Linked DNA regions of Pelodiscus sinensis. The protein of the gene in region 2 purifies or fractionates together with the protein of the main gene of each other region. This does not show direct contact. Links are inferred from orthologs where the notes say so. Each region holds a gene or a part of one and is shown on either strand. Other genes may lie near its edges.

Region 1 (7,125 bases), on a different chromosome or scaffold from region 2:
GAGAGCTGAGAAAGCGCCTCCTGACCTCGGCCACTCCTCACCGCTCGGCCCGGCCTCCGCGCCCGCGTGCAGAGAACCAGGGCAGGGCGTTTTCCTTCTCCCGGCTCCGACGGCGGCTGCCTGAGTGTCAAGTCCCAGAGCCGGCAGCCGGTCTCCGCGCCGCGTTCTCCTTGCTCCTGGCACTGGAGGCAGGGCAGAGCCTGGGCCCGGGACCCAACGGCAGCCTTGTTGTGAGGAGGGGCGGCTGGCCGTTTAGACGCAAGGGAGGGGCGCAGCCTGCAGGTATGACATCACAGCTCCTCGCCATGGAGACGGTGATGAGGTCACGCACCCGGGGGCCAGTCTGGCACAGACCTATGGGATCGCTGCTGTGTGCCAAAGCCCATGCCTGCCCTGGCTCCATCGGGCCGCAGGGCGGGGGTGCACCCCTAGAGTGGCCCCCCATGCAGGGACCTCTGCAGCTGTGGCTCGGCTGGGCTTGCTGCGCCCACCTGGAGGCAGGGTGCTGGGGCACCCCGCAGCTGCTGCAGCCTACACTGGGGCTCCGGGGAGCACATGGGGGGCTTGCACCCCCATGCTGTCCCTCGTGCTCAGTACCTCGGAGCCAGGCCTGCTGCGCTCAAAGGGGGGCAGGGCCCGGAGGGAGGCGGCAGCCGGCAGTTCAGAAGGGAGAAGAGGCTGGCTGGGATCGAGCAGGGGGATGGGTGTGAGCCGTTTCAGGGTAGCTTCCCCCAGCAAGGTCAGCAGGGTAACACCACCCTGAGCCCGCCGGGCATTCTGCAGGGCTGCTCCACACCCCTCGCTCCTGTGTAGCTCCCGAAGGGCACGGCCAAGCAGGCCACGGTCATACCCCTATTTTACTGAGGGGGAAACCGAGGCAGGCAGCGGGGCAGTGACTGGCCTGAGGTCACCTGGCAGGCCATGAGCGGAGCCAGGGCTGCTAGAGCCTCACCGGAGGCTTCTGCTACCCCCCACTGCAGCGCGCAGGCCACGTTTCTTTGGGAGCCGGCAGGATGTCCCTCCCCCTCCGATCTTCCCACTCTCAGAACCGCCCCCCCCCCCCCGTCATTCCACTCGCCCTCTGCCTGCCTGCATGTAGCCCAGCCCAGCCGCCCCGTCTCTGGAAGGGGGGCGGGGGAGGCAGCGTCCCTGCTCCCAGCGCGAGGCCGGACGCCCAAGCAGCAGCTCACTGGGCCAGCAGCCTGGGACCAGGGCGGGTGAGCAGCGGAGATGGGCAGCCTGAGGCACCAGGGCCTGCGCTGGGGGTGGGATTTCCCGCTGCGTAAGGACAGCCGGGTCGCACCCGGAGCTCAGCAGGAAAAGGCCGTTCCAGGCCGGGCCAGGGCTCCACCTCTGCATCTCGGGCAGTGAGTCCACAGAGCCTGCGCCAGTCTCATTGGGAAGCACCTAGGATCCCAGGGCGGGAAGAGCCCTCTGGAGGCATCAAGCCCAACCCCGACTCCATCATCCCAGCCAGGGCTCTGCCAAGCTGGGATTTAAAACCCTCTAGGGATGGAGATTCCCCCCTTGCCTAGGGACCCAGCCCAGCGCTTCCCCACCCGCCTGGGGAAAGTTTGTCCTAATCTCCAACCTAGAGCCCCCACTGCAACGTGAGCCCATCGCTCCTCGTTCTGCCACCCGCCCCACGGGGAACAGCCTCCCTGGAACCCTGGACGGTGGCTACCAGGATCCCCCCTCGCTCTTCTCTTCTGCAGACTAAACAAGCCCAAATCCCTCGGCCTCTCCTCGTAGGCCACATGCTCCAGCCCCCTCATCATTTTGGTCGCCCTCCACTGGACCCTCTCCAATGCGTCCACACCCTTTGTATAGTGGGGGGGCCCAGAACGCAACACTCCAGGTGTGGCCTGTGGGAGAAAAATCAAATAACTCCAATTGTGTCTAAGGGGGGACTGTGCAGGAAATCAAAACTCTAAAAGAAAACTGCTGGAAGGGTTACAAAGTTTTCCAGGCCTCTCTCCCTGTAACAGAGAGAAATCAAATTAGCTCTAATCAAGACCCTTCCAATGCCTCCTGTCTCAAGTTCATGGATACTCCTAGTCTGTCACAATTTGTCATGTAAACCCTTATCTTTGTCACGGTTTGCCTTGTAGACTCCTCCACTCACGTTCTCATGTGGCTTTGTTCTGTAAAACTTACTTCTAGCACTCCTGGGGTGAACAGAAGTCTCAGAGTGCTTCTGCTGAGACTTTGATATGTTAAAGAAGAACAATCCACAACTGGGCTGTCTGAACTTACTGTATAAAGATTCCCTGAATCTGTCTGTCAGGGCTGCTTCACTCTTGGTGTGACAGCCTGCATGCATGCATCAGAAAGTTTTCTCTTCTAGGTTTCTCTCCTGCCTCACTGATTTGACCTCCAGCCTCGGACCCTTCTGGGGGCTCTGTACCCCAGGGGAGCGAGATTTCCCCCTCAGGCCTCACCGGAGCCGGATAAAGGGGAATAATCGCTTCTCTAGATCTGCTGGCAACGCTCCTCCTAATGCCCCTAATCTGCCGTTAGCCTGGGCCACAAGGGCCCCCCATCGACTCGTCTCCAGCTTCTCAGCCACTGTAACCCCAGGTCCTTTTGTGCAGAACGGCTGCTTAGCCAGTTGGTCCCCAGCCTGTAGCAGGGCTTGGGTTTCTTCCCTCCCAAGGCCATGTCTGAACCCTGCACCCTAGGATTAGGAAGGGATCTGAGGGCAGGTCAGCCAAGGAGATTATCTGCACCCCTATTTCTGTGTCAGGGTGACCCCCAGTGGTTGCAGGGGTAAGTGCAGTTCTCTTTCATCCTGCGCCTGCTGAGAGTGACATCTTACATCCTCTGGGGGAGTGGGTGCAGCCGCCACATTCCATGCTGGTGGCCGACCCTCAGCTGACATAAATGGGCGTCTCCCCCATTAAAACGACGAGGCTTGGCCTAGATATACTATTTAGCCCCACATGACGATTCCAGCCCCAGAGGGAAACTTGGCACGAAGGGTCACAACCATGCAAAGCCAGCAGTTGTGAGGGAGCGCTAGTACACATGCAGGCGTTGTCAGCGTGGGAGCAAAGTTCGCAGCCTTGCTGTCCTCGGGGAAGCCATCGCTGGAGGGGGCTGACTTCAGAGCTCTAAGGAAAGACTTGGGTTTTGCATTAACAAGGCTTCAGACTAGGGATGTGAGTGACCATTTAAACCTCAGTGTGTCTACTCCCCCCCGTGCTACTGGCTCTGAATCAGAGCCTGCAGCGTGGGGTGGCTGCCGGCTCCCTGGGAGCGGAGCTGGCATAAGCTGGCTCATGGCATTCACCCGCTCCCAAGGAGCCAGCTATGCTGTGGGCTGTGCAGTGTAAGCTGTATACTGAGCTATACCATTTTTTTACGTCCTGCTCCGGACCAGTGTTCCCAGTTAGCTGAGCGCTTGGGTGGCCACCCAGAAGAGATTCCAATGCCATCCAGCCGATTAGCAGGGCACCCACTCGTGGTGCACAGAGCGGACGCTGTGCAGACGGCACGCGCTGGGGCGAGGCGTGTTCCCTTTCTCAGGATTTGCTGGGGAGTCTGGCCCCGTCTGCAGCCCCCAGTGATCGGAACACGGGGACTCTCAGCCGACTCGCGCTGGGTTGTGGGGAGAGCCCTGAAAACACAAACCCCTTCAGGGACCACAAACGTGCGAACAGCCCCCAGCTAGTGAGCGTGAGAACAGCACGAGCGGGGCACCAGCGGGTGCACGGTGCAGCTCCCCAGCCGTGCGTGGCCCTGCTGTTTTGTGGGTACCCGGTACCGCCTCTGCGGGGCACGTGGGGGCCAGGCCGGTGCCCACGGGGCGTGTAACCCTGGGCGTGCCCCTCCCACACCGCGTGCGCGCGCAGCAGGTAGGGCGCCTGCAACCCGCTGACCCCTGAAGACACAGGCCGTGTGTGGCCCTTTAAGAGAAGCGCCATTTGGAGCACAGAAGGGGGAGCGCATGCGCAGTAAACGGCCTCTGGACCAGAATTCGCGCCCCCGTGCCCCTGCCGCTGAACGTGTGGAGCCGCCAGCCGCTGCTGCGCATGCGTATCCGGGGCGTGGGCGCGCACGCGCAGCTGCGCGTACGAAGCCTTCCCGCCGACGGGCGCCGGAAGTGAGTCAGGGCGAGGGCGGAAGTGGGCGTGCGGAGGCTGGAGGGTTCCAGAAGTGGCGCCATGGTGGATTACAGCGTCTGGGACCACATCGAGGTGTCGGACGATGAGGACGAGACTCACCCCAACATCGACACGGCCAGCCTCTTCCGCTGGCGCCACCAGGTGCGGCCCCGCCCCGGGGAGCCCCCCGTTCCCATGGCGACCGGCCCCGCCCCTGGGGAGCCCCCCCGTTCCCATGGCGACCGGCCCCGCCCCGGGGAGCCCCCCCGTTCCCATGGCGACCGGCCCCGCCCCTGGGGAGCCCCCCGTTCCCATGGCGACCGGGCCCCGCCCCTGGGGAGCCCCCCCGTTCCCATGGCGACCGGGCCCCGCCCCTGGGGAGCCCCCCCGTTCCCATGGCGACCGGGCCCCGCCCCTGGGGAGCCCCCCAGGCCCCTCCAGCCAGGGTGCGATGGGGGCAAACTGGCTCGTGCGAGTCTCTGCTTGAGGCCCCGGGGCTGCGGGGGGAGGAGCTTGGGGGGGGGGGCTCGCACAGGCCCGCGGGCCCCGGGCTCCACGTGCTGCCCCCCCCCCGTGGTGCCCAGAGGATGCTGCCCGGGGGGTCCCTTGGCTTCAGCGAGCCCAGGCCTTTCGTAGAGCCCCCAGCGGGAGGCGCCGGCCCCAGCAGTCCCCAGCCCGGGGCAGGCTCTGCTCCTGGGTGGACTGCGTTGGAGGCAGCCCCCCCCTTCCGACTGAGGCCTGGCTCCCCTCCCATCCCAATGGCACCCTGGCTCCCAACCCACTGTCTTTGGGCTCTTCCCGTGGGGAGCCTGCACTAGTGGGGCTGGGCCCCCAGGACGTCTAACTCTCGGGGTCCCTCACCTGATTGCAGAGGCGTGTTGAGAGAGGGGAGCACTGACATATCGTCTCTCCTTAGAGTCCCTTCTCAATACCCTCTGGGTTGGTGCCCTCTCCCCGCAGCCCTGCCTCCAGCGGGGCAGAGGAGGCGTCCCACTTTCACCCCTACGATGCTGGAGGAGAGGGCTCATGGGAAAGCTGGGTCTGACCCTGAGCGGCATCAAGCCAGGAGCAGCCTCCCTCCAAGTCAGGAATGGGCAGCAATAGCAAATGGACTTGGGTGCCAATGAATCGGTTCTCTGATCTCTCCAGCCTAGTGAGTGGCTCTCCCAGGTGGGGCTCCTCTAGGCCTGAGACCCCTGGGACATGCCACGGTTCTGTCAGATCAGGCCTAGCGATGTGAAATATCAGTTCATTGAATAGTCAGTTAACCTCATGAATTCTTATTGGTTACTCGACTATTTGATAGTCCCCCGGGGGGGGATACTGCGCTCCAGGCCTGCTCCCGAGGAGCCTCCGGTCACTCCACGCTGCTGCTTCTGTATCAGGTAGATCTTCTGTGTGGGAGCAGACACTCCTACAGGAGTTGAGGGTGTTCAGTAAGGGAGGCGATCCCCCTGGAAACTTGTCTTCGCAGGTACTCAGAGGGTTTTTTCTCCTTAAGCAGGCATCCTGCATAGTACGTATAGGGGACTTCAATATGGGGACTTCAGTACCTGAAAAATATTCTGGAGCAAATGACAAAACAGTATCTCTAGAGGATGCCTGGGTCAGAGGGAGGAGCCGGTGGTTTTGTTGACAATAGATCCTGCCAAATAACCTATTTCCCTTGTTGACAGATGCTGGCTTAGGGCAGAGGGGAGCGGTACAGGGTTTGACACAGGCAGTCTAGATAAAATCACCACAAGATAACTGGTTGACGGTGGCCCTCAAAGAGTAGTCAGTGGTTTGCTGTCAAACTGGGGGTACTATCTAGCAGGGTCCTGAGGCAAGCCTGTTCCATAGTTTCATTAACGACTTGGATAATGAGCATAGACTGCCCTTATAGCATCCAGCCCAGAGGGGTTGCCGGCACTGTGGATGGCCGTTGGAATTCAAAACAACCTTGACACGTAGAGAATGGAGAGAGACTCAACAGAGGAAGTGGACTAAGGAGAAGTGCGAAGTGCTGAATTTAGGCAGGAGCTGGGAAGTGCCCAGCACAAAACAGACCAGCTGGCTGGGTGGGGGTAATGGAGGGAGCATGTGGGCATTAGAGCGGATGACGAATTGAATATGAACCAACAATGTGATCAGTTGCCAAAAGGGCTGGTATCGGGCTGGGGTGTGTTAACAGGAGCTTTACTTATGTAGCTGTCCTGCTTTCCGTGACGCTGCGGAAGCCTCGGTTGGAGTCCTGTGTCCGTTTCTGGGTGTGACCCCTCAGGAAAGTTGGCGAGAGTTCAGAGGAGGAGGGTCAGAAAACCTGACCTCTGAGGGGAGATTGCAAACCCTGTGCATGTTTAGTCTTGATAAAAGACAACTGGGGGTGGGGGGGGGGTTGATAATAGTCGTACAAGCTGTTAAGGGCCGGTGGATCTGTTCGCTGTGCCCACTGAAAGCAGGGCAAGCAGCAAGGGACTTAATCTACAGCCAGGGAGTTTGTCTGGAGTCGAGTTTTTTTTTTCCTCATATTAAAGTGCCATTAAGCTCTGGACTAGGCTCCCCAAGGGCACGTGGATGCCTCCGTCGGAGGGGTTATGAGCAGATGGCCACGTGCCTGTCAGGGATAGTGTAGGGTTACTTGGTCTTGCCTCAGCACAAGGGCCTGGACTTGGCAAGCTCCCTTGCAGCCTGACATAGCTGTGATTTTTGTTATCGGACGCTCTGTGATTCTCCAGTGAAGGGCGGATTTATAGCCCTTTAGTACAGAGACAGACGCTGGGGCGCAGAGCAGGGAGGGAGCTGCCTGAGGAGATGCTGCTGCCTGGCTGCACTGACCTAAAGTCAGGAGTCGGGAATGTGAATCCTAGAGGAAACCCCAGGGCTTGCTGCCCTCAGGTGCGACCCCAGGAAGCTATCTGGCAGAAATCCACTCCCGGTCTCCCAGTAACATTCTCCCCACAGTCGCTCTGGCCCCGTCTCCCAGTAACATTCTCCCCACAGTCGCTCTGGCCCCGTCTCCCATAACATTCCCTCCACA
Region 2 (7,394 bases):
TGAGTATCACTGTGGCCCCCAGGGCTTCCAAAGTTGAGTAGCCCTGATTTAAAGGATAGGTTACAAACCATAGTTAATAGTTCTGCAATTTCACATTTGAGTTCTTTCAGAACTCTTGGGTGAATGCCATCTGGGCCTGGTGACTTGTCACTGTTAAGTTTATCGATTTGTTCCAAAACCTATTCTAATGATACCTTAAACTGGGACAATTCCTCAGATTTGTCACCTAAAAAGAATGGCTCAGGTTTGGGAATCTCCCTAACAGCCTCATTTGTGAAGACCAAACCAAAGGATTCATTTAGTTTCTCCGCAAGGACCTTATTGTCTTTGAGTGCTCCTTTAGCAACTTGATCGTCCAGTGGTTTCACTGGGGCTACGTCTACACTGGCATGAATTTCCGAAAATGCTTTTAACGGAAAAGTTTTCTGTTAAAAGCATTTTTGGAAAAGCACATCTAGATTGGCAGGATGCTTTTCCGCAAAAACACTTTTTGTAGAAAAGCGTCCGTGGCCAATCTAGACGTGGTTTTCCGCAAAAAAGCCCCGATCGCCATTTTCGTGATTGGGGCTTTTTTGTGGAAAACAGTTCTGTGATGTCTACACTGGCTCTTTTGCGCAGAAGTCTTTCGGAAAAAGACTTTTGCCCGAACGGGAGCAGCATAGTATTTCCGGAAAAGCACTGATGATTTTACAAGAGGTCGTCAGTGCTTTTCCGGAAATTCAAGCGGCCAGTGTAGACAGCTGGCAAGTTTTTCCACAAAAACAGATGATTTTGTGGAAAAACTTGCAGTCTAGACACAGCCTGGTTGTTTACCGAGCTTCTTGCTTCTGATGTACTTAAAAACATTTTGCTATTACTTATTGAGATTTTGGCTAGCTGTTCTTCAAACTCCTTTTTGGATTTCCTTATTAATTTGGCAGAGTTTTTGTTCCTTTTTATTTTCCTCGCTAGGATTTAATTTCCACTTTTTAAACAATGTCTTTTTATCTCTCACTGCTTTTTTTACTTGGTTCTTAAGCCATAGCGACACTTGGTTCTCTTATTGTGTTTTTAATTTGAGGTATAAATTTAAGTTGAGAGACTATTTCGGTGTCTTTGAAAAGTCTCCGTGCAAAGTTTGCAGGGATTCTACTTTTGGCATTGGACCTTTTTAATTTCTGTTTAACTAACCTCCTCATTTTTGTGTAGTTTCCCTTTCGGAAATTAAATGCTACAGTGTTGGGCTGCTGAGGTGTTTCTTACCCCACAGGGATGTTACATTTTATTACATTATGGTCACTATTTCCAAGAGATCCACCTGTTTGGATCAAATCCTGTGCTCCACTTAGGGCTAAATCAAGAATTGCCTCTTCTCTTGTGGGTTCCAGAAACAGCTGCTTCAAGAAGCCGTCATTGAAGGTGTCAACAAATTTTCTCTCTGCATCCCGTCCTTAGGCAATGTGTACCCAGTCAATATGGGATAGATGAAATCCCGCACTATTATTTTTATTTTTACAGCCTCTCTAATTTCCCTTAGCAAAAGAATATAGCAGTGGGGATATATTACCGACCACCTGACCAGGACAGTGATAGTCACTATCACTTCCTGGTCAGTAGGGTTGCCAGATGGTTTCAACAAAAATACTGGATACACTTGACATTACATCACAATCTACATTACATCTTATTTAGAAAATACCCGACATTTCTATTTTCTCAATTTGTTTCCTGAACAGAAAGCTCAAATACTGGACTGTCTGGTTGAAAACCGGACACCTGGCAACCCTACTGGTGAGGTGGTCAGTAATATATCCATATTGCTATATTCTTCTCATCAGAGCATGGAATTACTTCCTATAGCGATTCTATGGAACATTTAGGCTCATTTCAGATTTATCCCTCATTTGATTCTACATTTTCTTTCACGTATAATACCACTCCCTCACCCACACGACGTGTTGTGTCCGATAGATGTTGTTCCCTGGTATGACGGTCACGTTGCTTGTCTTGTTCCAAGTTTCTGTGATGCCTGTTATATCAATATCCTCCTTTGCAACGAGGCACTCCGGTCCACCCATTACTGGGTGCGTAGAAGCACATTAACGGTGTGTCCCTACTTTGCGGCCAGGCAACGCCGCGAAGCACGTTGACGGCGTGTCCCTACTTAGCGGCCGGGCGACGCCACGAAGCACGTTGACGGCGTGTCCCTACTTAGCGGCCGGGCGACGCCGCGAAGCCCGTTGACGGCGTGTCCCTACTTAGCGGCCGGGCGACGCCGCGAAGCCCGTTGACGGCGTGTCCCTACTTAGCGGCCGGGCGACGCCGCGAAGCCCGTTGAAGGCGTGTCCCTACTTAGCGGCCGGGCGACGCCGCGAAGCCCGTTGACGGCGCGTCCCTACTTAGCGGCCGGGCGACGCCGCGAAGCCCGTTGACGGCGCGTCCCTACTTAGCGGCCGGGCGACGCCGCGAAGCACGTTGACGGCGCGTCCCTACTTAGCGGCCGGGCGACGCCGCGAAGCACGTTGACGGCGCGTCCCTACTTAGCGGCCGGGCGACGCCGCGTAGCACGTTGACGGCGCGTCCCTACTTAGCGGCCGGGCGACGCCGCGAAGCACGTTGAAGGCGCGTCCCTACTTAGCGGCCGGGCGACGCCGCGTAGCACGTTGAAGGCGCGTCCCTACTTAGCGGCCGGGCGACGCCGCGAAGCACGTTGACGGCGCGTCCCTACTTAGCGGCCGGGCGACGCCGCGAAGCACGTTGACGGCGCGTCCCTACTTAGCGGCCGGGCGACGCCGCGAAGCACGTTGACGGCGCGTCCCTACTTAGCGGCCGGGCGACGCCGCGAAGCACGTTGACGGCGCGTCCCTACTTAGCGGCCGGGCGACGCCGCGAAGCACGTTGACGGCGCGTCCCTACTTAGCGGCCGGGCGACGCCGCGAAGCACGTTGACGGCGCGTCCCTACTTAGCGGCCGGGCGACGCCGCGAAGCACGTTGACGGCGCGTCCCTACTTAGCGGCCGGGCGACGCCGCGAAGCACGTTGACGGCGCGTCCCTACTTAGCGGCCGGGCGACGCCGCGAAGCACGATGACGGCGCGTCCCTACTTAGCGGCCGGGCGACGCCGCGAAGCACGTTGACGGCGCGTCCCTACTTAGCGGCCGGGCGACGCCGCGAAGCACGTTGACGGCGCGTCCCTACTTAGCGGCCGGGCGACGCCACGAAGCACGTTGACGGCGCGTCCCTACTTAGCGGCCGGGCGACGCCGCGTAGCACGTTGACGGCGCGTCCCTACTTAGGGGCCGGGCGACGCCGCGAAGCACGTTGACGGCGTGTCCCTACTTAGGGGCCGGGCGACGCCGCGAAGCACGTTGACGGCGCGTCCCTACTTAGGGGCCGGGCGACGCCGCGAAGCCCGTTGACGGCGCGTCCCTACTTAGCGGCCGGGCGACGCCGCGAAGCCCGTTGACGGCGTGTCCCTACTTAGGGGCCGGGCGACGCCGCGAAGCACGTTGACGGCGTGTCCCTATTTAGGGGCCGGGCGACGCCGCGAAGCCCGTTGACGGCGTGTCCCTACTTAGGGGCCGGGCGACGCCGCGAAGCACGTTGACGGCGTGTCCCTACTTAGGGGCCGGGCGACGCTGTGAAGCCGAACGGGGCACATGGGCCTGGGCGGGCAGGCCCCCGAAGGGCAGCTCGCCAGCGGGAGGAACACCACGCCCTGAGGGCTCGGCCCCCCGCCCACCCTGCGCAGCCCCTGGCCCGAGCCTGCCTGGCCGGACTAGGGGCGTTAAGCCTGCCTGAGGGGAGGCGGGCGCTGCTGCTCTGGAGAACCCCAGGGCTGTGTAGCTTCCAAGGGGGCGACCCCGGCCCCCCCGCCTCTTTCTGACAGATGGGGGAGCGACTAGCGAGGCGCCCCGCCGGCGCAAGCAGCAGTTGCTGGGCAGGGCGGCACAGGCCGGACGCGCCTGAGAGGATAATGGCGGGAAGCTCGAGGCCACCGCCGGGCTAACGGCCCCCCCGCGCATGCGCGCGGCGGGCGCTCGAAGCCGGGGACTAAACCTTCCACCTGCGCCCGCGCATCGCAAACGCCACATGTCCCGCCTCCCACGCGCGGGCCGACTGCGCACGCGCATTCCGGCGAGTTCCGCCGCGCCTGGAGGGGGAAGGGAAAAGGCTTTCGAGAAGCCCCGCCCATTTCTGGGAAACCACAGGCCCCCTCTGTCCAATGAAAGCCGAGAGCCGGGGCGGCGGAAGAAGCGACCCTGCGGCAGCGCTGCCGACGGGGAGGAGCGAGGCTGCAAGGAGCACGCGCGCGGATTGGTTCTAGGGAGGCAGGGGGCGTGGCTACGATGCCTGGCAGGCCGGTTGGGCGGGGCCGAGGCGGCGGGGGCGGGGCCAGGCAGGTGCTGGGGCAGATGCGGCCCGAGCTCCCCAGGCGCCGTGGAGGGAGCCTGAGGCCTGCGCCGCGCCCGAGGCCCCGCACGGACCGGAGCGGGTAGGTGGGCGCGCGCCGGCCGCTTGGCCCCTCCCCGCGGCGCGCGACCCCGTTACTCGCCGCCCGGCCGGGTCCTACCGCTCCCCCCGCGGCTCCGGCCGAGCCCGCCCGGCGGCCGGCTCCTGTAGGGGGCGCTGGCTCCCCGCCGCCTCGGGGGCGCGTCGAGGGGGAGGTGCTGTGAAATGGGGGGAGTGGGGGCGCGTCGAGGGGGTGGGGCTGTGAAATGGGGGGAGTGGGGGCGCGTCGAGGGGGTGGGGCTGTGAAATGGGGGGAGTGGGGGCGCGTCGAGGGGGTGGGGCTGTGAAATGGGGGGAGTGGGGGCGCGTCGAGGTGGTGGGGCTGTGAAATGGGGGGAGTGGGGGCCCATCGAGGGCGTGGGGCTGTGAAATGGGGGGACTGGGGGCGCGTCGAGGGGGTGGGGCTGTGAAATGGGGGGAGTGGGGGCCCGTCGAGGGGGTGGGGCTGTGAAATGGGGGGAGTGGGGGCCCGTCGAGGGGGTGGGGCTGTGAAATGGGGGGAGTGGGGGCCCGTCGAGGGGGTGGGGCTGTGAAATGGGGGAGAGTGGGGGCGCGTCGAGGGGGAGGGGCTGTGAAATGGGGGAGAGTGGGGGCGCGTCGAGGGGGTGGGGCTGTGAAATGGGGGAGAGTGGGGGCCCGTCGAGGGGGGTGGGGCTGTGAAATGGGGGGAGTGGGGGCCCGTCGAGGGGGTGGGGCTGAGAAATGGGGGAGCTGGGGGGCGCGTCGAGGGGGGTGGGGCTGTGAAATGGGGGGAGTGGGGGCCCATCGAGGGGGTGGGGCTGTGAAATGGAGGGTCTGGGGGGCGCGTCGAGGGGGGTGGGGCTGTGAAATGGGGGGGAGTGGGGGCCCATCGAGGGGGTGGGGCTGTGAAATGGGGGGGCTGGGGGGCGCGTCGAGGGGGGTGGGGCTGTGAAATGGGGGGCTGGGGGCCCGTCGAGGGGGGTGGGGCTGTGAAATGGGGGGGCTGGGGTCTTAGGCAGTCCCATGCAATAGTAACCCCTAGTCTCTGAGGGGCAAGAGCAAGCCAATCAGTGTTCATATTTACCACCCTAGTGTGAGCATTGCCCTGTTGGGCTCCTTGGCTCCCTTTCCATCCAGATGTAGCTTCCACGTGTCAGCTCTAGAATTCAGTTGTTTAAAATGTGTTAAACAGTAAAACTGCTGTTAACTTTCTAAAGTGAGGATACCAGAAATCTGAGCTGTTTCTGGTCATAAATTGACTTCCTCTCTTAGAACCTTCTGCTGGGAAGCATCAGCAAAGGCTATTTGAACTTGGGTTGATTTAGTTGGGATTGGTCCTGCCTTGAGCCAGGAGGCTGGACTTGATAACCTCCTGAGGTCTTTTGCAGCTCTGATTCTATGAACTTGTTAAACTAAAATAAGAGAGTCTTCGTTTCTGACATGAATGGTTTTGATAGCAACATCTGATACCTAGTATGTTTTGAAAATAACAATGAAATAAGGTATTAGCAAAACATCAGCTTTATTCAGTGGAATACTGAAAGAGTGGCAGATTTGGATGTGTATGATAACTTTAACTATTTAGTTAAGGTATGATAGCTGAACTCTGTTTTGTTCCTTTGATTTCTACTAGTGTGTTGTGCAGCCTAAACATCTTCACATTGTTAACGTTATGTGAAGTATTTCAGCAAATTAACAATTATTTTGTGAAACATTCTTGAACATAGCAGAGTATTCCTAAGTGATCTCATTACTGACTAATATGTATCTTCAGCCTAGAATTCAGTTGAACTTGCTCTTTCTTTTCCATGTGTTCCTATAGTAGCTTCAGAGGAGGCCTAAAGAGACACTTTTAGCCCAGATGGTATCTTTCTACTAATGAACAGACTTTTTTCCTTTTTGATTTGGGGGAGGGGGGATAACTTACTTCTGCCTGCTTTCTGCTTCTTTACAGCAAAAAAGCATTCCTAATAAGTTAGGAGAGTAAACAGCAGACTTTTGCTGTTTTGATTAGGAGTTGCTAGGTGCAGATCTGCAAAAGCTATCCTTTACAGTGGGGGAGGAGAGAAAAAGGCAGAGACCTTGATCAGCCAATCAAAATATACAAGTGAATAAGATCTGGAGTTCAGTTTAACTGCCTGTTTACTCACTACTCATTATCTGACCATCACTTCTCTTTAAAACAACTTTTTTTGGCAAAAGGTTAAAATACTGCTTTGCTGATTAATAAGTCACTGCTGTGGTTGATTTCAGATGCTTCCTGTCTGCTTCATCTTAATATCAGTTAAGCTGGAAACATACGTGCACGAATTGAAAGTGGCAGCTTGACACATCTTGCAAATTGCTTTTTAAATAGGATTTCTGAGCCCTTGTATGAGTGATAATTCTTCTTTGTTTATCCACAGTGTGAGTCTGCAGATGAAATTAGGGTTAGAAGACATCCAAGTTACTCTAAGCATCATAAGGGCTATACATAGGTATATACATTTAACTATCTTAAATCTAGTGGCTGTGCAGTTGTTATAATTGATTGCACATGTAAAAAGTTGAATTACTAAGTGATTGTTGTCATGAAAAGCTGAGTCTCTGAATATCATACTGTTACTTTAACCTTATTAATAGCAACAGCTGAGTGGAAGGAGAGGTCAGTCAATTTTGTACACATTTGTTGGTATTCTTAACTTTTGCATTTAGCATGGTGATGGTGCTTTAGAAATATCTAAATGTCTCAACTTAAGTTGAAATTGTTTGCTATAAATCTTTAAAATATTGCTGTTTGATTAATAGTATTTTTCTCAGATTGGACAGTGAAACTAAATGAGTTAGTTTAGCTTTCTGGGTCTTGTTCACTATTGTGATGATGTGTTTGGGGTTCACAAGGTAAGGGGAATGTTTAAATAAATCTTATGTGGAAATGCTTCCGTCTCTACTAAGTTTAGTAA
Region 3 (7,160 bases), on a different chromosome or scaffold from region 2:
CCCCCAGAAAGTGCTGCATAAGCACAGACCCAGCCGTCCTGAGGCCCGCCAGCAGCCCGCCGTGTGCTTGCAGCCTGCCCGTCTCTTTCCCTCATCCCCTCTTTGTTTGCAATCGCCTTAAGCGCCTGTTTCCAAAACAAACAAGAGAAAGGGAGGAGGGGAAAATGAGGCTGATGTCGATCAGCTACCTGACTCCATAAAAACCTCTGGTCCCAGCTCCTTGATGAACCCGTTTGGACCTCTCAGGGTGGCTTGGTGTAAGGGTTGTCTCAGAGCTCTGACTTCCTCCCTCTTTGCCAGCAATACTGCAGGGATCTCCCTCCGGCACCTGATTATAGTTTGTCATGGAATTAAGTTTCATTGGATGCATTGCCTGCAGCTCTGTCCTCCACCCCATGGCACCACTTAGGGCAAATGTGTCCACCAGGGGTTTTTTCTTGTGGCCCCAGCCTCCTGGGCTGGGCTGGAGAGGAAGTGGCTTCTCCCAGTTGCTCCTGGATGTATTGCTTTGGTGTTTGATGGAACCTAGGTCAACCTAACGTTTTAGTGTGGAGCAGGCCCAGTTTGAGCATGAATTACAGTGGTTTACATTACATGTAGCTGCATGAGGGGTTTCCCCAGGTTACCTACCAATTGGTTAGTTATACTGGTGCAAAAAGCCCATGCCTAGGCCATCCCTAAGGCTGCATCTTGGAAATGGGGTGTTGAGAACAATAGGCATTTCCCAGGGCTTCCCCCATTTTAAAACTGTCCCCCATCCTCCCCAGCCCCTGCTGGATAATGGGGAGCAAGAAGATAATGGTGGGTGGAAAGCAGGTGGGTACTGTGAGCTTGCAAACCTACCATAAGCCAAGGGCAAGAAGGCTTTTTTTCTTGCTTCTACTCTGTTTATAATGTTGTCCACGTTAGAAAGGTTGCTCTGATTAAACTCTGTTGGTTTCTAAACCAATAAGATGACAGCAATACAAAAACCCCACAGAGACCAGTCCTAAGTATTATCCCTCAACACAAGCAGGGAGAGTGTGGCTGCTCCCCCCCAAAACATGATAGGGCAATTTGATCCCTTGCATCACTCTGGAATTTCTCTCACTACATGAGTTTCCATGGGGTAAATGCCTGAGAGCTGCCAAGGGCAGGGGAGGGAAAGAACATGGGACAATCATTTCATGGGGTCCGTCCAAACTCTTTTGGGACAATTGCCGCAAGACTTCACAGGTGCAAGGTGGGAGTCCATGGACCAAGTAGGCAACTCTAAAGCTTCATTGTGTAGAAATATTCGCTTAGGCACAGAACTCTTCAGTATTTGTTTTTAATATTAGTCTCTGCCTTTTCCCCAGAACTGTTCACTTAAAAACAAATTGAATGGCTAAAATAAAAAAAAACCACAATGTTATAAATATGCTGCTATTGATTGTTTACCTACCAGGACTTTTTTTTTTCTTTCCTTTCCTTATTTAAAATAAAGACATTTCCAAAACACTCTCATTTTACACTATTTTTTTCTCTGTTATTTCTCCTTTCATCTAGTTTAAAACAAAACACAGCAAAACCCAGATATTTTCCTTTTAAGAGGTAGAAATTAATGGTTCACCCAGTCTGGCATCCTGCCTCTGGCAGTGGCTAATTCCAGATGAGTAAGAAAAAGGTGACAAATTTTCATCAGACCTATGGTTAAGGAAGGTCTCAACATGCAAAGGGACATCAATCTGATTGTGTGAGCAAAGAAATCTGTGCTGGCAGAACTGGGGCCTAAGTATCCCAGCAACAGCAACCAGCCTGGCCACCACACGGCCACAGCCCTGACTCCCGGTGGCAGCAACCCGCCCGCCTGCAGCTCTGATGGCGTAGCAACCCACCTGTCCATGGCCCCAGCCCTTGATAGCAGTAATCCACCCAGCCATGGCCCCAACCCCGGAGGCAGCAAACCATCGACCCACAGAGCTCTAACCCCCAGCGCAGCAACACACCCGTGGTTCTGACCCCTAGAGCAGCAACCCACCCACCTTGTGGCCTTGGCTCTGGCAGCAGCCACCCTCTGATACAGCCCAGGGCCTACCCTGCCACGGGGGCCCCGGTTCTGGGAGCAGCCACACCACTCACCTTCCAGATTCAGCAGGAAGGTGAGTGCTGCTGTACTGCTCTGTGAAGGAGGTGGGTTGGGTTAGAATTGTTTGTGTGCGGTCATGCACTTTAGAGGGAACACTGGTCCAGAGTTACAAATAAATAGCAGAAAAAGAGGGGCTGGGGAGGGAAAGGAAAGGGGGGGAATTATCAATTACAGTGTCTGTGCTAAATGAGGCTAATTGAGTGGGCTATAAATGCCCAATACTTAACTTGTAATGTCATTAGGGTGTTGAATGTAGTGCCCCATCCAAGTAACGTCTTTGTTCAGACCTTGGTTAAAGGTGTCAAAGTTGCAGATGAAGGTGATTTCTGCAGCTTCTCTTTCCAGCTGGTTTTTTAAATTGCTTTGTAACAGGATGGTCACTTTGAGATCTATTAGTGACTGCCTGGTCAGGAAAAAATGTTCCCCAACGGGTTTCTGTATGTTTCCATTTTGAGTATCTGATTCGTGTCCATTAATCCTTTGTCATAGAGACTGTCCAGTTTGGCTAATGTACATGGCAGACAGGCATTGCTGACACAAATCACATTAGTGGATGTGCAGTTGTATGAGCCTCTGATGTGGTGGCTTATGTGGTTAGGTCCTGTGATGATGTTGCTTATCATAGAATCATAGAACCATAGAGCTGGAAGAGACCTCAGAAGGTCAAGTCCACCCCCCTGGTCTAGACAGGACCAATCCCAACTAAATCAACCCAGCCAGGGCTTTGTCAAGCCTTAAACACCTCTAGGGATGGAGACTCCACTACTTCCCTAGGTAAGCCATTCCAGCACTTCACCACTCTCCTAGTGAAATAGTTTTTCCTAATATCCAACCTGGATCTCTCCCACCATAACTTGAGATCATTGCTTCTTGTTCTGCCACCTGTCACTAATGAGAACAGCCTCTCTCCATCCTCTTTGGAACCTCCCTTCAGGAAGTTGAAGGCTGTTATCAAATCCCCCCTCACTCTTCACTTCTGCAGACTAAACAGACCCAACTCCTTCAGCCTCTCCTTATAGGTCATATGCTCCAGCCTCCTAATCATTTTGGTTGCCCTCCGCTGGACCCTCTCCAATGCGTCCACATCCTTTTCGTAGTGGGGGGTCCAGAACTGGACACAATACTCCAGATATGGCTTCACCAGAGCTGAATAAAGGGGAATAATCACATCTCTGGATCTGCTGGCTTGCATAGATGTGTGGACAGAGCTGGCGCTGGAGTTGATTGCAGGGGTGCATTCCTGGATGAGTATGATGGAGGTGTGCTGCGTGGTTACAGGAGAGAATTTGTTTGAGGTTAGGGGGTTGTCTATATTTGAGGACTGGCTTATCCCCCAAGGCCTGTGAGAGTGAGGGGTCATTTTCCAGGATAGGTTGTAGATGGTTGATGATGCGTTGGAGGGGTTTAAGTTGGGGTCTATGGTTTAAATGGTGTCTTGTTTTCTTTGTTGGGTCTATCTTGAAGAAGCCGATGCCTGAGTACTTGTCTGGCTCTGTCAATCTGTTTTTTTCATTTCCCTGGTGGGTATTTCAGTTTTAAGAATGCCTGATAGAGACTCTGTAGGTGTTTGTCTCTGTCTGTGAGATTGGAGCAAATCCAGCTTTATCGTAGGGCCTGGCTGTAAACAGTTGATTGAGAAATGTGTCTTGCATGGAAGTTAGCCTGGTTTAGCAGGACACTCTAATTGACAATTTTCCCCCTTCTCTTTCCCTCCCCATCACCTCTTTTTCTGCTATTTATTTGTACCTCTGGACCCCTTGCTCCATCCATCTGAAGAACTGGGCTGTGCCCACAGCTCCTCTGCATGGTTTGTTAGTCTCTAAGTGCTGCAGGACTATTTGTTGTTTTTTAATTTTTTTCAATAGTGGGATGACATGGTAGCAGGAGATAGCTCAAAAGTAGGGTGACAGAGTAGCGGGGTATAAGGAGCTTCCCGGGTATTGAGGGAACTGGGGAGTATGAGCGCGGTGGGAAAAGAGAAAGTACCAGGATCCACAGCAATCATGGGCCCCGCAAGACCCAGCGTGGCCCTTTTAAGGCGGAGGGATCCAGGGGCCGGGCTCAGCCCCTATATAAGGCTGGCGGAGGGGGTGCCGGCTTCTTTCTCCCGGCCGCACCGCAGCGCCAGTAGCAGGGACTGAGCTCGCTCCTGCCCGAACCCCAGCCCATCACGGTAAAGGCGGGGCGGGCGGGCTCGGCTGGGGAGGGGGGGGGGGCACGTGGCGCCGCCGGGCGCTGCCATGTTGAGCGCGGCGGGGGGGCGGCTCGCGGGGCCGGGCCGCGCGGCCGGTGCCGTTGACCGGTCGGGCGCGCGCTGATGCGGGCTGTCCGCGTTGCAGATGCCGGAAGCCGCGCAGCATGGCGAGGAGGAAGTGGAGACCTTCGCCTTCCAGGCCGAGATCGCGCAGCTCATGTCGCTCATCATCAACACCTTCTACTCCAACAAGGAGATCTTCCTGCGCGAGCTCGTCTCCAACGCCTCCGACGTGAGCCCCCCCCCCCCCCCCCCCCCCGCCTGCCCTTGGGCCAGCCCGGGCCGCGCGCGCTAACGGCCTTCGCCAGCGGCGCCCGCCCTTGGGAATCCCCTCGGCGTCCCTCCCCCGCCAGCCTCCCTGGCGCAGGGGAGCCACAGCCCAGGGCGGGTTTGCCCCGCTGCCCTTGGGGGAGCGGGCATGGAGGCGGCATCCAGCGTCACCCGTTGGTCTGCAGGGATTCTCTCTTCCTGGGGGTGGGGTGGGGTGAGCCCATCTCTGGCCTGTGTGTTGCTCCGATGGGGTATCCACAGTGCTGCTCTCATGCAGGGCCTTGTGTTTTACCCCTTGGAGGGGTTTGAGTGAGCCCAGGCCCTTTGTTGGGGGTGTGTGTCATGCTCCCCTTCCTCTCCAGAGCAGGCAGAGGACGAGATCCAAGGAGCAGGTAGGTGAATAGTAACTGGGCCTTGCAAACCTTCACTCTTCTCCTCCAGGCCCTGGACAAGATCCGTTATGAGAGCCTGACAGATCCCTCAAAGCTAGACAGTGGCAAAGAGCTAAAAATTGACATCATCCCAAACCCCCGGGACCGCACCCTGACTCTGGTAGACACAGGCATCGGTATGACAAAGGCCGACCTCATCAACAACCTGGGCACCATTGCCAAGTCTGGTACTAAAGCCTTCATGGAAGCCCTTCAGGTGAGTAGTCTTGAGTCCGGGCACAAGAGCGTGTGGGCCTGGGCACCTCCTGGGCTCGTGTCCTTCATAGGGCCTTACAGCTTCAACACTCAGTGTTTGCTGGAGGGACAGTCGCCTTCTGGGTCCGCATCCTCCCAGGGAGCAGCATAGAGTGCTCTTGGCTTGCCCACGTGTTTCCCTGCTCCCTCCTGCACATAGAGAAGGTGGCGGGGCCCTGCCCTATCCCTGTCTCTACTGTGCATTGGCCCAGTTCCCTGCTACTGGAACACACCTGACAGACATCGCCGATTTCTGGTGTCCTGATCTTCTCATTCTGTCTCCTTCCCTCTGCAGGCTGGTGCTGACATCTCCATGATTGGGCAGTTTGGTGTGGGCTTCTACTCCGCCTATCTGGTGGCTGAAAAGGTGGTGGTCATCTCCAAGCACAATGATGATGAGCAGTATGCCTGGGAGTCATCAGCTGGGGGCTCCTTCACTGTTAAAACTGATCATGGTATGTACTGTGGAGATGGGGCTTGCAAGGAACCAGCTGCCCCTCTCCTCTCTATCTTCCATGGGGTCCCATGGCTTTGAGAGGGTCGATGATATGGGGGGGGGGGTGAGGTGTTGTAGCCTTAACTGCTACTGGTGGTGAAACAATCACGGGGGGAGAAGGTCGCAGGGTTGTGTGTGAAGGTGAAAGTAACCTGTCATCTTGGGTTAGGTCTCAGGGCTATCCTGTAGGTGCAAGAGGAGAAGGCTACTCTCAATGCTAACCAAAGCCATGGTTTAAGCTTGGTGCAGGCTCAGTACTAGCAGTGCATCTGCCCTACTTTCTCATGACCTTGGCTCCCATTAGAAACACTGTGATGATCCTCCCTTTAGTTTAGCGGTGGGCTGCACCTGCCATTGACATGAGATCTCCAGTGAGCTCTGTCCAGCGGTAATGCCACAGCCTCTCTCCTGGTGCCACAGGTGAGCCCATCGGGCGCGGCACCAAGGTGATCCTGTACTTGAAGGAGGATCAGACAGAGTACCTGGAGGAACGGCGGGTCAAGGAGGTGGTGAAGAAGCACTCACAGTTCATTGGCTACCCCATCACCCTTTACGTACGTATGTGAGATGGCAGGACCCATGAGAAGGACAGATAGAACATGGGAGAGGCCCAGGCTGAGACTGGGGAGAGATTGGTACATTCTGCCTTGAGCCTTCCTATCCCCCCGTGTGTGTATGTAAGAGACTGTGATGGGTGAAGGCAAGAGCTGGGCACTCATCCTGCTGCTAAGGAGTTGGCCAGAAGAATGGTACGAGTGGAAACTAGCTCACTGCCTCTAGGGGGAGGGTATCACAGAAGGGGTATACTGTTCTATCAAACTCACATCCCTAAAATCCATGCCGGTGCTTTGGGCCAGCACCTCCCCTACCTGGTGAGGGGGTGGGGCTGGAATTCCAGCCCTCTGTCTCCTCTTGTTTGGGCCTCTAGTGCATGAGCTATGGGAGGTCTCAACCAGCTGGGGGTGGCCATGGTTCCTTATCCTCTTGGTTGTCCCAGCCACTGAAAGGCACCATTTGCAAAATGTGAACCAGTGCTTTATGTGCCGTGCATCACGGCAATGTTTAGCTTAGTAGGACACCTACCTCCCTTGGGGCTATGGTGTTTGTCACTGCCCTGATCTTCTGCAAATAGGAGGCCCTGAGTAAGCTAGTTGTCTTTGCCACGGCCGTCTTTCTACCTCTTCCTACAGCTGGAGAAAGAGCGGGAAAAGGAAATCAGTGACGATGAGGAAGAGAAGGAGGAGAAAGAGGATGAGGACACAGCCCCCAAGGATGAGAAGCCCAAGATAGAGGACGTGGGCTCAGATGAGGAGGAAGAGGAGGGTGGTAAGGGCAAGAAGAAGAAGA

Evidence for each region.
Region 1: the proteins of MAP3K14 (region 2) and CDC37 purify together in Homo sapiens (affinity purification with mass spectrometry; 5 studies listed by BioGRID and IntAct, with this or other methods). This does not show direct contact. The link is inferred for Pelodiscus sinensis from reciprocal best matches to the Homo sapiens genes MAP3K14 and CDC37.
Region 3: the proteins of MAP3K14 (region 2) and HSP90AB1 purify together in Homo sapiens (affinity purification with mass spectrometry; 4 studies listed by BioGRID and IntAct, with this or other methods). This does not show direct contact. The link is inferred for Pelodiscus sinensis from reciprocal best matches to the Homo sapiens genes MAP3K14 and HSP90AB1.

The regions. Positions count from the first base shown.
Region 1 is NW_027465991.1:191,869-198,993, reverse strand, and holds the start of CDC37 (hsp90 co-chaperone Cdc37), read left to right. Parts: upstream 1-4,108; 5' UTR 4,109-4,166; coding exon 4,167-4,268; intron 4,269-7,125. UniProt on the Homo sapiens protein: Co-chaperone that binds to numerous kinases and promotes their interaction with the Hsp90 complex, resulting in stabilization and promotion of their activity. Inhibits HSP90AA1 ATPase activity.
Region 2 is NC_134739.1:810,883-818,276, reverse strand, and holds the start of MAP3K14 (mitogen-activated protein kinase kinase kinase 14), read left to right. Parts: upstream 1-4,326; 5' UTR 4,327-4,474; intron 4,475-5,469; exon of another isoform or gene 5,470-6,929; intron 6,930-7,394.
Region 3 is NC_134713.1:140,492,425-140,499,584, forward strand, and holds the start of HSP90AB1 (heat shock protein HSP 90-beta), read left to right. Parts: upstream 1-4,143; 5' UTR 4,144-4,280; intron 4,281-4,446; coding exon 4,447-4,593; intron 4,594-5,072; coding exon 5,073-5,279; intron 5,280-5,612; coding exon 5,613-5,772; intron 5,773-6,233; coding exon 6,234-6,367; intron 6,368-7,003; coding exon 7,004-7,160. UniProt on the Homo sapiens protein: Molecular chaperone that promotes the maturation, structural maintenance and proper regulation of specific target proteins involved for instance in cell cycle control and signal transduction. Undergoes a functional cycle linked to its ATPase activity.